2 linked regions of the Rattus norvegicus genome follow. The protein of the gene in region 2 purifies or fractionates together with the protein of the main gene of each other region. This does not show direct contact. Links are inferred from orthologs where the notes say so. Each region holds a gene or a part of one and is shown on either strand. Other genes may lie near its edges.

Region 1 (4,937 bases), about 17 Mb from region 2:
CCAAATCCCTCATTTTTCAGGTGAGGAAAGTGCAGCCCAGAGGGGTTTCTTGAACTGCCCAAAGGCACACCACTATTTAGTAACACAAGCTGGGACTAACACTGAGGTCCGTCCTGAATCCTCTCTATACGAGGGACATACAAATAAAACAGGGTCATAATTCACTCACAAGACCTCCACAAGGTGTCTGTCACAGTGAACTTTGTTGGGAACTATCTGCTTATACCCACCCACAGTGGAGCAGGAAAGAGCTGGGCTCTGGAGTTCAAACACAGGCTCTAAGGCTTATCATGCGACCTTGGACAATGCATGCCACCTCTCTTCCTCAGTTCCTCTAGCATAGAAACTTAAAATACTTCTCTTCACGAAATAATGACTAAGCAAGATCTGGTGCACACAAAGAGCTCTGTTCTCGTGAGACACGACAGTGAGCATAAGCAAGGCACAGCTCTTTAAAGACATTTCAGGGTTCTCCGTAAGCAAGCTCAGAAAAGGAAGCTTATGTGTGGGGTAGTCTTTCCAAGACTAAGCTAGCAGGACCACAGGAGACATCTAGGGCTCAGTGGCAAAGCTGATGACATTTGAAATAGCAAATAAAATAGTTCAACCTCCTTGGTTAATATGAATTCAGTCAACACAATAATGCAATGGCTGAATTCTTTCTCCTACTGTTAGGGAACTGTAAGCAAAATCAGTGATAATACATGAAAAGCAAGGTTCTGGTTGATTTACTATCTGACCTCACCAAAAATAACATTTTCAACAGGAACACTCAATCTTCTGATCTTACTGTACTGGCATATTTGTAGCCCCTTACACCAAAGGACTTTTTTTTTCTTCCCCAAAGAGAACCAACAATCATACTACCCATGACATCTATACAACATAAAAGGTTAAACTGACAGTGGCTAAAGTAACCAAGTCACTCTCTGGCCTTACTCCAGATATGGCTTAAATAAAGGCAACAGCATGGACCTCGTCGCTGTTTTCAACAAGTGTATTTTGGAGACTGTAAAATAGCTAATCATTCCAAGACTATATTAAGAATTTTGACTAGCCTACAACATGGCAGGGGGAGAGGCATGCTAGCACTGTCTAAACTGGAACATGTTTGATCATATGAAAGGAGCTCTAGTACTAAAGTAGGCTAGAGCATGACCATCCCAGAAAAATTAAGATAGCCAGTCTACTTAAGACTAGCTCAGTGTGATCTGCATGCCATGAACTATTCTCTGTATATGACGTAACTCATAAGCTTCAAGCTGCCATTCCAGAACCAACGATTATCTTCAGCCTTGAGGACAAGGCCAATATTTTACAAATATCAGGCAGAAGTTCTGGGTACAATCTACCATGAGAGTTTTGTTTTGGGTTTCTTTTCCCCGCCTTATGGCTTATTTTCAAGGCCTGAGCGCATAGCTTAGTAAGCATCCACTTAGGATGTGGGAGGGCCTGGGTTCAACCTCCAGCACAGAAAGGGAAGAAGGAGGGAAGAGGGCAAGAGAAAGGCAAGGAGGGGGAAAGTTTTATTTTCAAGATTTACAAAAACTCAGATGAAAACAGTTGGGCATATGTCAAAGAAAGTGGCCTCATGACACATTGATCTCCAAATTTCACTTTTCTCTTTGGAAGTTTAAATATGGATACTAAGGTGATTTCAAAAAGTGCTCAAAGGCTACTATTATAATTTATTAAACTGCTTTATAATACAAAAAGTTAAGGTGGAATCTCCAGTTTTTAAGTGGGGGGAAACTACAACAATAAAAAAAGAGTTCAGTTTTTTTTCTAAGAACTAACCAAATGGTCACCACAGATAATTAAAGAAAAGTCTAGTTAGCACTGCTGTCTTTCCAACCAAATCTGGCATTAGCTTTAGAACCAGAGAGTCAGAGTATTTTTCTTTGATTTGCCAAGCTGTAAATAAATACTAGCAGATCTATGCTTTGAACGAAAGGCATTATTGGAATATAATTATGATTCCTTAAACCGTAAATATCCCAAAAGCAGGCCTCTTTGGCTTAAAACTCAACTAAATAAAAACTGTAACCAGCTCTCCATTTTTTTTCAAACATGTGGAGTCTCATATAATAACCACCATGCATGTGTCTACTTACATGGTAATTAATTTGCTAACCAATTAAAAATCAAGCTCATCAGTGACAACAGTCACATTTCAAGTGCTCAAGAGTCACCTGCACCTGGTGGGTACCATATTGGTAGCCCACAGTGTATAGCATTTCCAGCTTGGCAAAAAGTTCCCTAGGGCAGTGCAAGGGGAGAAGGATGGGAAACTTGGAATAGCATGGTTAAGTGTGGTCTAGTTGTACAAAGCATTATCTAGAAACTGTCCCTTAGTAATCAAATCCCGCCTCTGTGGAACACACAGAAATTCTACCAGTTGTTTCTTTCTTTAAGTAAATCTTTTAACAGTGAACTGCTCCTCACAAATACTGAAAACCCAGGTCTTATTCCAGATAAATATGTACCCGTTTCTTCCTGAGTTTCTACTAACTCCAGGGAAGCTAATTTTAATCGGGGTGTACATTAACAACACTGTTACCGGAATCATTATGTCTGAATATCAAATATATTCCACTATCCCTATAACTCTTACCACTTGTCACATCAACTGTCCTGACTTTCTATAGAGAAGGCAAGATGACAATTCCCTTAACTTGGAGCTCATCACAGCTGAGCTTTTAGCACACAGATCTTCTCCCATAAACCTGAGTTTAGAACTAGGCTGTGATGATGATCCCCATGTGCACACCACAACACCAACTAAATAATTTATTTCCCCAGGGGTCCCAGAGGCGAGCTCTGACAGCAGCGTCTCTGCGTCCCCCGTCCCTCAGCCGGCACACTACATTTCCTTCCATTAACACTACCTAGCTTCCAAGAAGTAGAGCTGCCTTCTTGAGGGACTCCCCACCCATCTGGGTGACACGCGAAACAGTGCCTCTCCGCCTGGCCCCGAGGCTCCCCTCACCTCACGCCCACGGACGACGGGGAGGAGCCAGGGTGCACCCAACGCTCGGCGGCCTGCAACCGGCTGGGCCCGCACCCCGGGGCCAGATCTTTGGCTGCCACGTCCCTGACGTCCCCATGACCTCGCCCCACTCCCCTCCGCCCCCACGCGCCCCACAACCTCTGCTTAAGACACGTGGAGGCACGGCTGCGCGTCCCGCGTGGAGAATGAGAGGGGACAGAGATGGCGCGGTGTCTGCGGCGGCGGCCCCGGGACACGACGGGCAGGGGGGCAGGGAGTGGGGGCAAAGATTGTAGAAAGGGAAAAGGTGACTGAGCTAGGCTAGAAGGGGGGGTAAGATGGCGAGAGTGCCACTATGAGGGGCGGGGCAGGGGTAGTGAAGCCTGAGGTGACTAGAGGGAAGGACCAACCTGTGCGGCGAGAGCGCATGCGCACCGGGCTAGACAGCGCGCGCGGTCGCGGGACTGCGCCTTCCACTTCCGCCACACTCCGGGGGCGGGACTTCGCCCTCCCGCCATGGCGGACCGAGCGGCGCGTATCCATGCGGCGGAGCCTAGAGCGGTAGTTGCGATGGGTAGAGTAAGGGATTGGGCTGAGGAACCCGGTTTACCCTGTGCAGACTCTGCAGCCTGTAGGAGTGAGCCCGAGGGGCTAGGAATTCTTCAGAGTCGGTGACCTGCACTGGGAGATTATCCATGCAAGCGTCTCTTTAGGGGTCGGTCGGTCGGGTTATCAGAATTGCTTCGAATGACAAAGGGACGCAGAGTTCCGAAAGACCTGAACCTCAGAGAAGCACTGTGTGGGGACTCAGCCCGTTTGGGGACTTGGAAACACCAGCTTCCTTCCACCCCACCTACCCCTACCCGCCCTTGCGCAAAATCAAAAGCCTGTGACAACTGATCCGCAAAGTTTTCCCCAGTTCGTTTCTACTAATTAGAATTACTTTAAAAAGCATGCTTTGGTTGATAACTTTCACTATTGAGGAGGCTTTAAAAATAAGCAGTGGTGCTTTTTCCTAAGGATTTTGGCCTGCTCCTCATTTTGAAATCTTGTACCACCAGTATTGTATGTATGACCTGGCTTCCCGTGTTTGATGGTTGCAGGTGTAGTTCTTTAAAGCACTCAAGACAATGGTGTGCGATGCTTTCACTCTTCAGCTGTTTAGGAAAGAAAACATCCATTATCCTGCCACCTCAAATATTTATATTATATTATTACTATATTATTTATATTATTCACTGTCTTAGTAAAGATTTTACCGCTGTGAATAGACACCATGACCAAGGCAACTCTTATAAAGACAACATTTAATTGGGTCTGCCTTACAGGTTCAGAAGTTCAGTCCATTATCATCAAGGCAGGAACATGGCAGCATCCAGGCAGGCATGGTGCTGGAGGAGCTGAGAGTTCTACAACTTCATCTGAAGGCTGCTAGCAGAATACTAGCTTCCAGGCAGCTAGGTAGAGGGTCTTAAAGCCCACTCCCTACTCCAACAAGGCCATACTTACTCCAACAGGGCCACACCTTCTAATAATGCCACTTGCGCTGAGACAAGCATATACAAACCATCACATTCACCTTTCCCGGGTCTTTTCAAGCACTCTGTCTCCATTAATGCCTTGCCTATGAATGTATTATGACTTCTGAAATAATCCTAGCGTCTTGTTTAGTGTCTTTAAAACAGCCATTCATCTGATTATCTCCTCTTTGGATTGCAGTTGTCTTGTGCTTAGTTCTCTCTAACTACCAGACACTTCGATATTTGCCAAATCCACTTCCAAGAGTGTATTTAGGATGTGGAGGTTCAACATGAAGTGTAAGAAGATCCAGGCTTACTCTGTCCTAGGCAGAAAGTAGCTAAGAACTGCCATTCCCTCCTTAAAAAGTAAACTTAGATTATATATACAATAGGTGAAAAGACTTTTTTTAGTATATTGCAAAATAAGA
Region 2 (4,999 bases):
GCCCAGGTGACCAGTTTTTAGGAAAACTGATATACCCACAAACACATTAAGGAGATGGGAAAAGTTTTCAACCTCTTAAATGAGATGATGTTCTTATACTTACCCATAAGCCCCTCTGTGCAGTCACTTACAGGCTGCTAGACTGACTGCTATACTTGCTGACCTCTTAACTCAAAAGGTTTATTTTTGACTTTCCCACCGTTCTTCTTTGGTTTCTGGCCAAAAGCATAAGAATACTGTCCCCCGACCCTCTGGGCATTCTCTGCTTTTCTCTGAAGGATATACACACCCCAACCCACCTTCTGTACAGCTGCTTACACCCCATCCAGCTCCAAGAGCAGAGCAGACTTTCTTTTCTGGACTCTAAAAATGAGCCAGTTTCTCTCTTCCTTCTCTGTTTTCTTCTGGGCAGCCGCCAGGATTTATAGCTCACTGCAATACAATGGGCCTCAAGCTTCCTTCAGAATCCATTTAAAAAGTGTTAGAAGAAGGACACTAGGAACAGACAAGAGAACCTACATCCCCCAATAATGGTTTAATGACAGACATTATTGTAGGAGCAGCTGTAGAAAGGACAGGACAGCGATGTAAAACCTGATGAGTTTTTCTGTTTGTTTTCTTTTTCTTGCTTGTTTGTTTATATACAAGATTTCACTGCGTAGTCCTGGCTGACCTGGAACTCTTAACTTAGACTAGAATGCCTAAAACTCAGAGACTGGCCTGTCTCTGATTCTGTAATTCTGAGGTCAAAGGTGAGGACCAACACACCTGGCCTTATCGGTTTATTAATTAATTAATTAATTAATTGTTGAGGAAAGAGTCTCACTCTATTGAGCTTCCACAGTGGGCTAAGGTCAAGCCTAGGTAGGGGGCGTTGGTCAAATATAGGCCAGGAAGACTGCAATTTCCCAGCCGTAGGCTTCATTCCTTTGAGAAGAAACTCCCCCCCCCCCCCCCCCCCCCGCATAGCATTGCTCTGCGTTAAAAGGACACAGAATCTGGAAAAACGCATCTTGAAACATAAAGTGTAATTTTTAGCAGGACCGACTGGTAAACGAGTATTTGCAAGGGAAAGCACATCCCATATGGCTGGAGTTCAGCAGGAGCTGCCAAGCTTGTGAGACAAACCAATCACAAACTCATTACGATCATTGTCCCACATCATGACTATGCTTGCTCCGCAGAATTAGGGCACTTGAAACGGTGCTGACAGGCAATGCAGGGCTTTTCAAGTCGCTTTAGAAAGGTTGACCCATGGTGAACAACCGAAACAACCTCTTTCTGCCATCAGAGACAGGGACAATAATTTTGCTTTTGAAGTTTAAGTCAAAATTGGTATCACTTTCCTGGACGCTGTCTTTCTGGTTAACTTGCATGCCCGGATTTCGTCTTTGAAAATATAATAGACAATAAACTAGCAGCAGACTTTAGCCAGCCCGGAGTGAACCCTGCAGGCAGACTCATTTCAAACTTTTTCCACGCGTTTAGTTTTCATTTTGCCGACATGTAATGTACTCTAACCAACAAGTATTATATACGTGTGAATACACACACACACACACACACACACAGAGAGAGAGAGAGAGAGAGAGAGAGAGAGAGAGAGAGAGAGAGAGAATTGAGTCTTCTCTCTTTGGTCATATTCGGTTCAGAAACTACCAGGGAAAGAGGATGGGGAAGAATCCTTAAAAGAAAAAGTTTAGCCCAAAGTAAAAAAAAAAAAAAAACACAAAAAAACAAAACACCCCTTCACGCCATGATTTTGGTGAATTAGCAACAAAGAGGAGGATTGGCCGCTGACGGGTACTTCTGGAAAACATTTTTTCCTCCGGCTCCCGCTAGGGTGGAGGAAGTTGGGTCTCGGCGCGGGAGGGTGTCAGGCCCAGGGACGCCAGCAGCGCAGGGCGGCAGGTGCCTGGGCTGCAGCGGCCCGGCCTCGCGGGTCGCCGGTCACCTACGGGCCCTGGCGCTCCGGGCGGGCGGCTACGCTTGCAGCAGCATGCCGGAGGCCCAGGGGAGCAGAGCGCGGTCAGGGCGCTCGGGCCCGCTAGCGTCCTAGCCTCCCGGGGAGGCGCGGGGGCCTGCGATCGCTGGCGGCCGAGCGCGGCGGGGGCGGGGAGGGCGCAGGGCGGCGGCCGAGGGGGGAGGGTCTCGGCTCCGCCACCGGCGCCCGCGGGGACCCTGGCGGCTGCGGGTGACAGTCGGGGCGGCATGGCTGAGGCTGGTGGGGTCGGGCCCCCAGCACTGCCGCCCGCGCCCCCGCACGGTTCTCCCCGGACCCTGGCCACCGCCGCCGGGAGCTCTGCTTCCTGCGGGCCAGCGACCGCCGTGGCCGCGGCGGGCACGGCAGAAGGACCGGGAGGAGGCGGCTCGGCCCGGATCGCCGTGAAGAAGGCGCAGCTGCGCTCTGCTCCGCGGGCGAAGAAACTGGAGAAACTCGGCGTGTACTCCGCCTGCAAGGTACCCGCTGGGAAGAACACAATCGCGGGGTCACGGGCGGGCCGGGACCCCCACCCCTCCCCCACCGTACTCCCAGCTTCCCGCCGGCACCGCGGAAGTGCTACATTCTCTACGCGCGCTCTGCCGCTGCGGCTCGCACAGCGTCTCACTGGGGCAGGGGTAGGGGGTCATCTAGATCTGGCTGTGTTCTTCTTCTGGGAAGGATGAGTCTTGGCTTTCGAGCGCTCGGGGTACTCTGGGGCTTTTCCTCTCTGTAGGAACTCGCCGGAGCCCTTTCACAGGGAGCGTAACTGTGCTTGGTGTGGCGGATCAGTCGGGGCTGGGAAGCAGCATTTTGGGGTTGGGGGCATCTTAATGTGTCTCCCTGCGTTCTCTCTCCCCATTGAGCCCCGCTAGGAGGAGCTGGGCTGTGGAGTGAGCGTCCAGAAGTGTCCTGGAATCCTGGCGCTCCGCGGGAGTGAAGGGGCGGAGCACGGGGTGGGAGGTGGGCACTGCCCCAAGCCCGGGTCCTTTGGCGCCTGGCGGCCTCGGCCGTGCGGCGACGGCCCTGTCATTATTGTTATTACTTATTTAAGCGAAAGCGCGATCCTGGCGGCTTAGAGTGTAAACAGGGTCTGGCAAGGTGACAGCCCGGGCGGCGAGCGGGTCTGCTCAGTTTGAGCACAGCTTTCTTGTCATTTTCCCTCCCAGAGGGTTTTAGGCACCTCGGGGCATCCAGCTATAGAGCACGTGTAGGGGGGCTCTGCTCCCCAGGCCGCATTGGAGAGCTACTCCGCGCTGTAGACCGCGGCTTTGTTTTGACAGGGTGACAGCAGAAGTGGGGCGGGGACTTGGCCTTGTTAGCTCGCGCGGCCTGTGGTTGGGACCGGGGAGAGGCGCACTCACACCTCCCTTCAGAGTTGCTTGCTGTCAAAGGAGTCACGTCCCCAGCATTCAGATTCTCATCCCCACTTCCGACTGTACAGCGAGGATGAATAAACCTGGTAGATGACATTCCTCCCGGGGGATTCTTGTTGTAATGTTTACTGGAGCTTCAAGGACCTTGGATGGTCTCAAGCATGGCCTTCCATTGTGACCAACTCCTGTTTATCCATGCTGTCACCCTCTATTTAGGTCGTGCACCCGCTGTGCCTTCCTGAGAGGGCACCAGTGCAGTGCTTTATACACATTGATAAGCTTTGTGATCGCTCTCTTGGAACTGCTGTTGCTAAATTAGGAGGTTGGGGTGGGGTCTGAGGATTTACATTTCTAATAAAGCCCCAGGAGTTGCGGAGTGGCAATTGAGAATACTTTCTTCGAGAAGCAAGTATATTACTACTTTTGAATTCTTCAAAGGAGCCGAGAAATACTAACGCCACGTGGTGTATCCTAAGGTTTGCAAAAATAAAATTGAAGTACGTGTCGAAGAAATGGGAAAAGCAAGGGGTTCTACTCCAATAGCTAAAGACTTCCTTTTTTTTTTTTTTTTTTTTTTTCTTTTTTTCGGAGCTGGGGACCGAACCCAGGGCCTTGCGGTTGCTAGGCAAGTGCTCTACCACTGAGCTAAATCCCCAACCCCAGCTAAAGACTTCCTAAGTCTTACAGTCCAACAATCTGTCCATCCTAAAACCTTCCTTAGACAGGACCTCTGGTGTTGCATGCAGGGAAGAGAGTGGCTGACAGAACTCAGAGCAAGTTCAGGGACTTAATAAATAGGCTTGGCTTTTGCAGCTGCTTTAGACTCATTGGTAAACTCAGTCAGCTATGTAGTCCTGCTTTTACTGAAAAGTATTAGCCTGAGTTCCATCACCAGTATCCCCCCCTCCATGCTGCCTGCCATCCTGTAGTACCAGAAAACATTCCTGTAGTTGTACACATGCATTCTTTCTAAATTCCCCCAGGTCTTCCTATGAAGTCCAGGATGGCCTTGAACTCCTGTCTGCCTGCGATTACAGCTCTACCACCATGCTCCTCCCCTGACCCACCCCAATACTTTGTATCATTCATTAGTGAAACTTCAAGTGTATAACTTGAGTATTTCTTGGTCATATTTTCTGACAAACTCAGAGGAAAGATAAACCTGTTATTCAAGCTCTTTCTTCCTGCTTTTGAGAAACTTTGAAAGTAATAGAGTTTAGTATGTGTGGTGTTTGTCTGCATGTGTGAGTGTTAGAATGTGTTCAACTCTTCCAAGTACTCCGGGAGCCATCTCACCAGCCTGAAGCCCTGTGGTCTTATTTGGTGATTTATTCAGCTAATGTTATGAGAAATTCTAACTGGGGCCGCGTTTTGAGCCAGGTGCTGGGTTTATGGCACCAGGATCTGTCTTGAGTTGTTGGAGTGTGTATTCAGATTCCAGGGTAAAGGCAGTAACCCAGCTGCAGTGGACCCCAGTGAAGCCTTCTTGGGGTGTAGGGCTCAGAGTTGGAGAACCCGGGAACTGCAGATCCAGGAGGTGGAGGAGGTGTAATCCTGATTTAGAACTTCTGGCCTGTCAGGGTTGGGTGGGGTAGGCTTTCTTGCTGTAAAGAGAAACTGAAAGCATTTTTGAAAACTTGGA

What was found. Proteins that work in one complex are often made in the same cells at the same time.
Region 1: the proteins of Kat2b (region 2) and Supt3h purify together in Homo sapiens (affinity purification with mass spectrometry; 7 studies listed by BioGRID and IntAct, with this or other methods). This does not show direct contact. The link is inferred for Rattus norvegicus from reciprocal best matches to the Homo sapiens genes KAT2B and SUPT3H.

What each region holds. Positions count from the first base shown.
Region 1 is NC_086027.1:23,700,761-23,705,697, forward strand, and holds the start of Supt3h (transcription initiation protein SPT3 homolog), read right to left. Parts: upstream 3,404-4,937; 5' UTR 3,149-3,403; intron 3,138-3,148; exon of another isoform or gene 2,990-3,137; intron 2,908-2,989; exon of another isoform or gene 2,889-2,907; intron 1-2,888.
Region 2 is NC_086027.1:6,797,270-6,802,268, forward strand, and holds the start of Kat2b (histone acetyltransferase KAT2B), read left to right. Parts: upstream 1-1,875; 5' UTR 1,876-2,211; coding exon 2,212-2,460; intron 2,461-4,999. UniProt on the Homo sapiens protein: Functions as a histone acetyltransferase (HAT) to promote transcriptional activation. Has significant histone acetyltransferase activity with core histones (H3 and H4), and also with nucleosome core particles.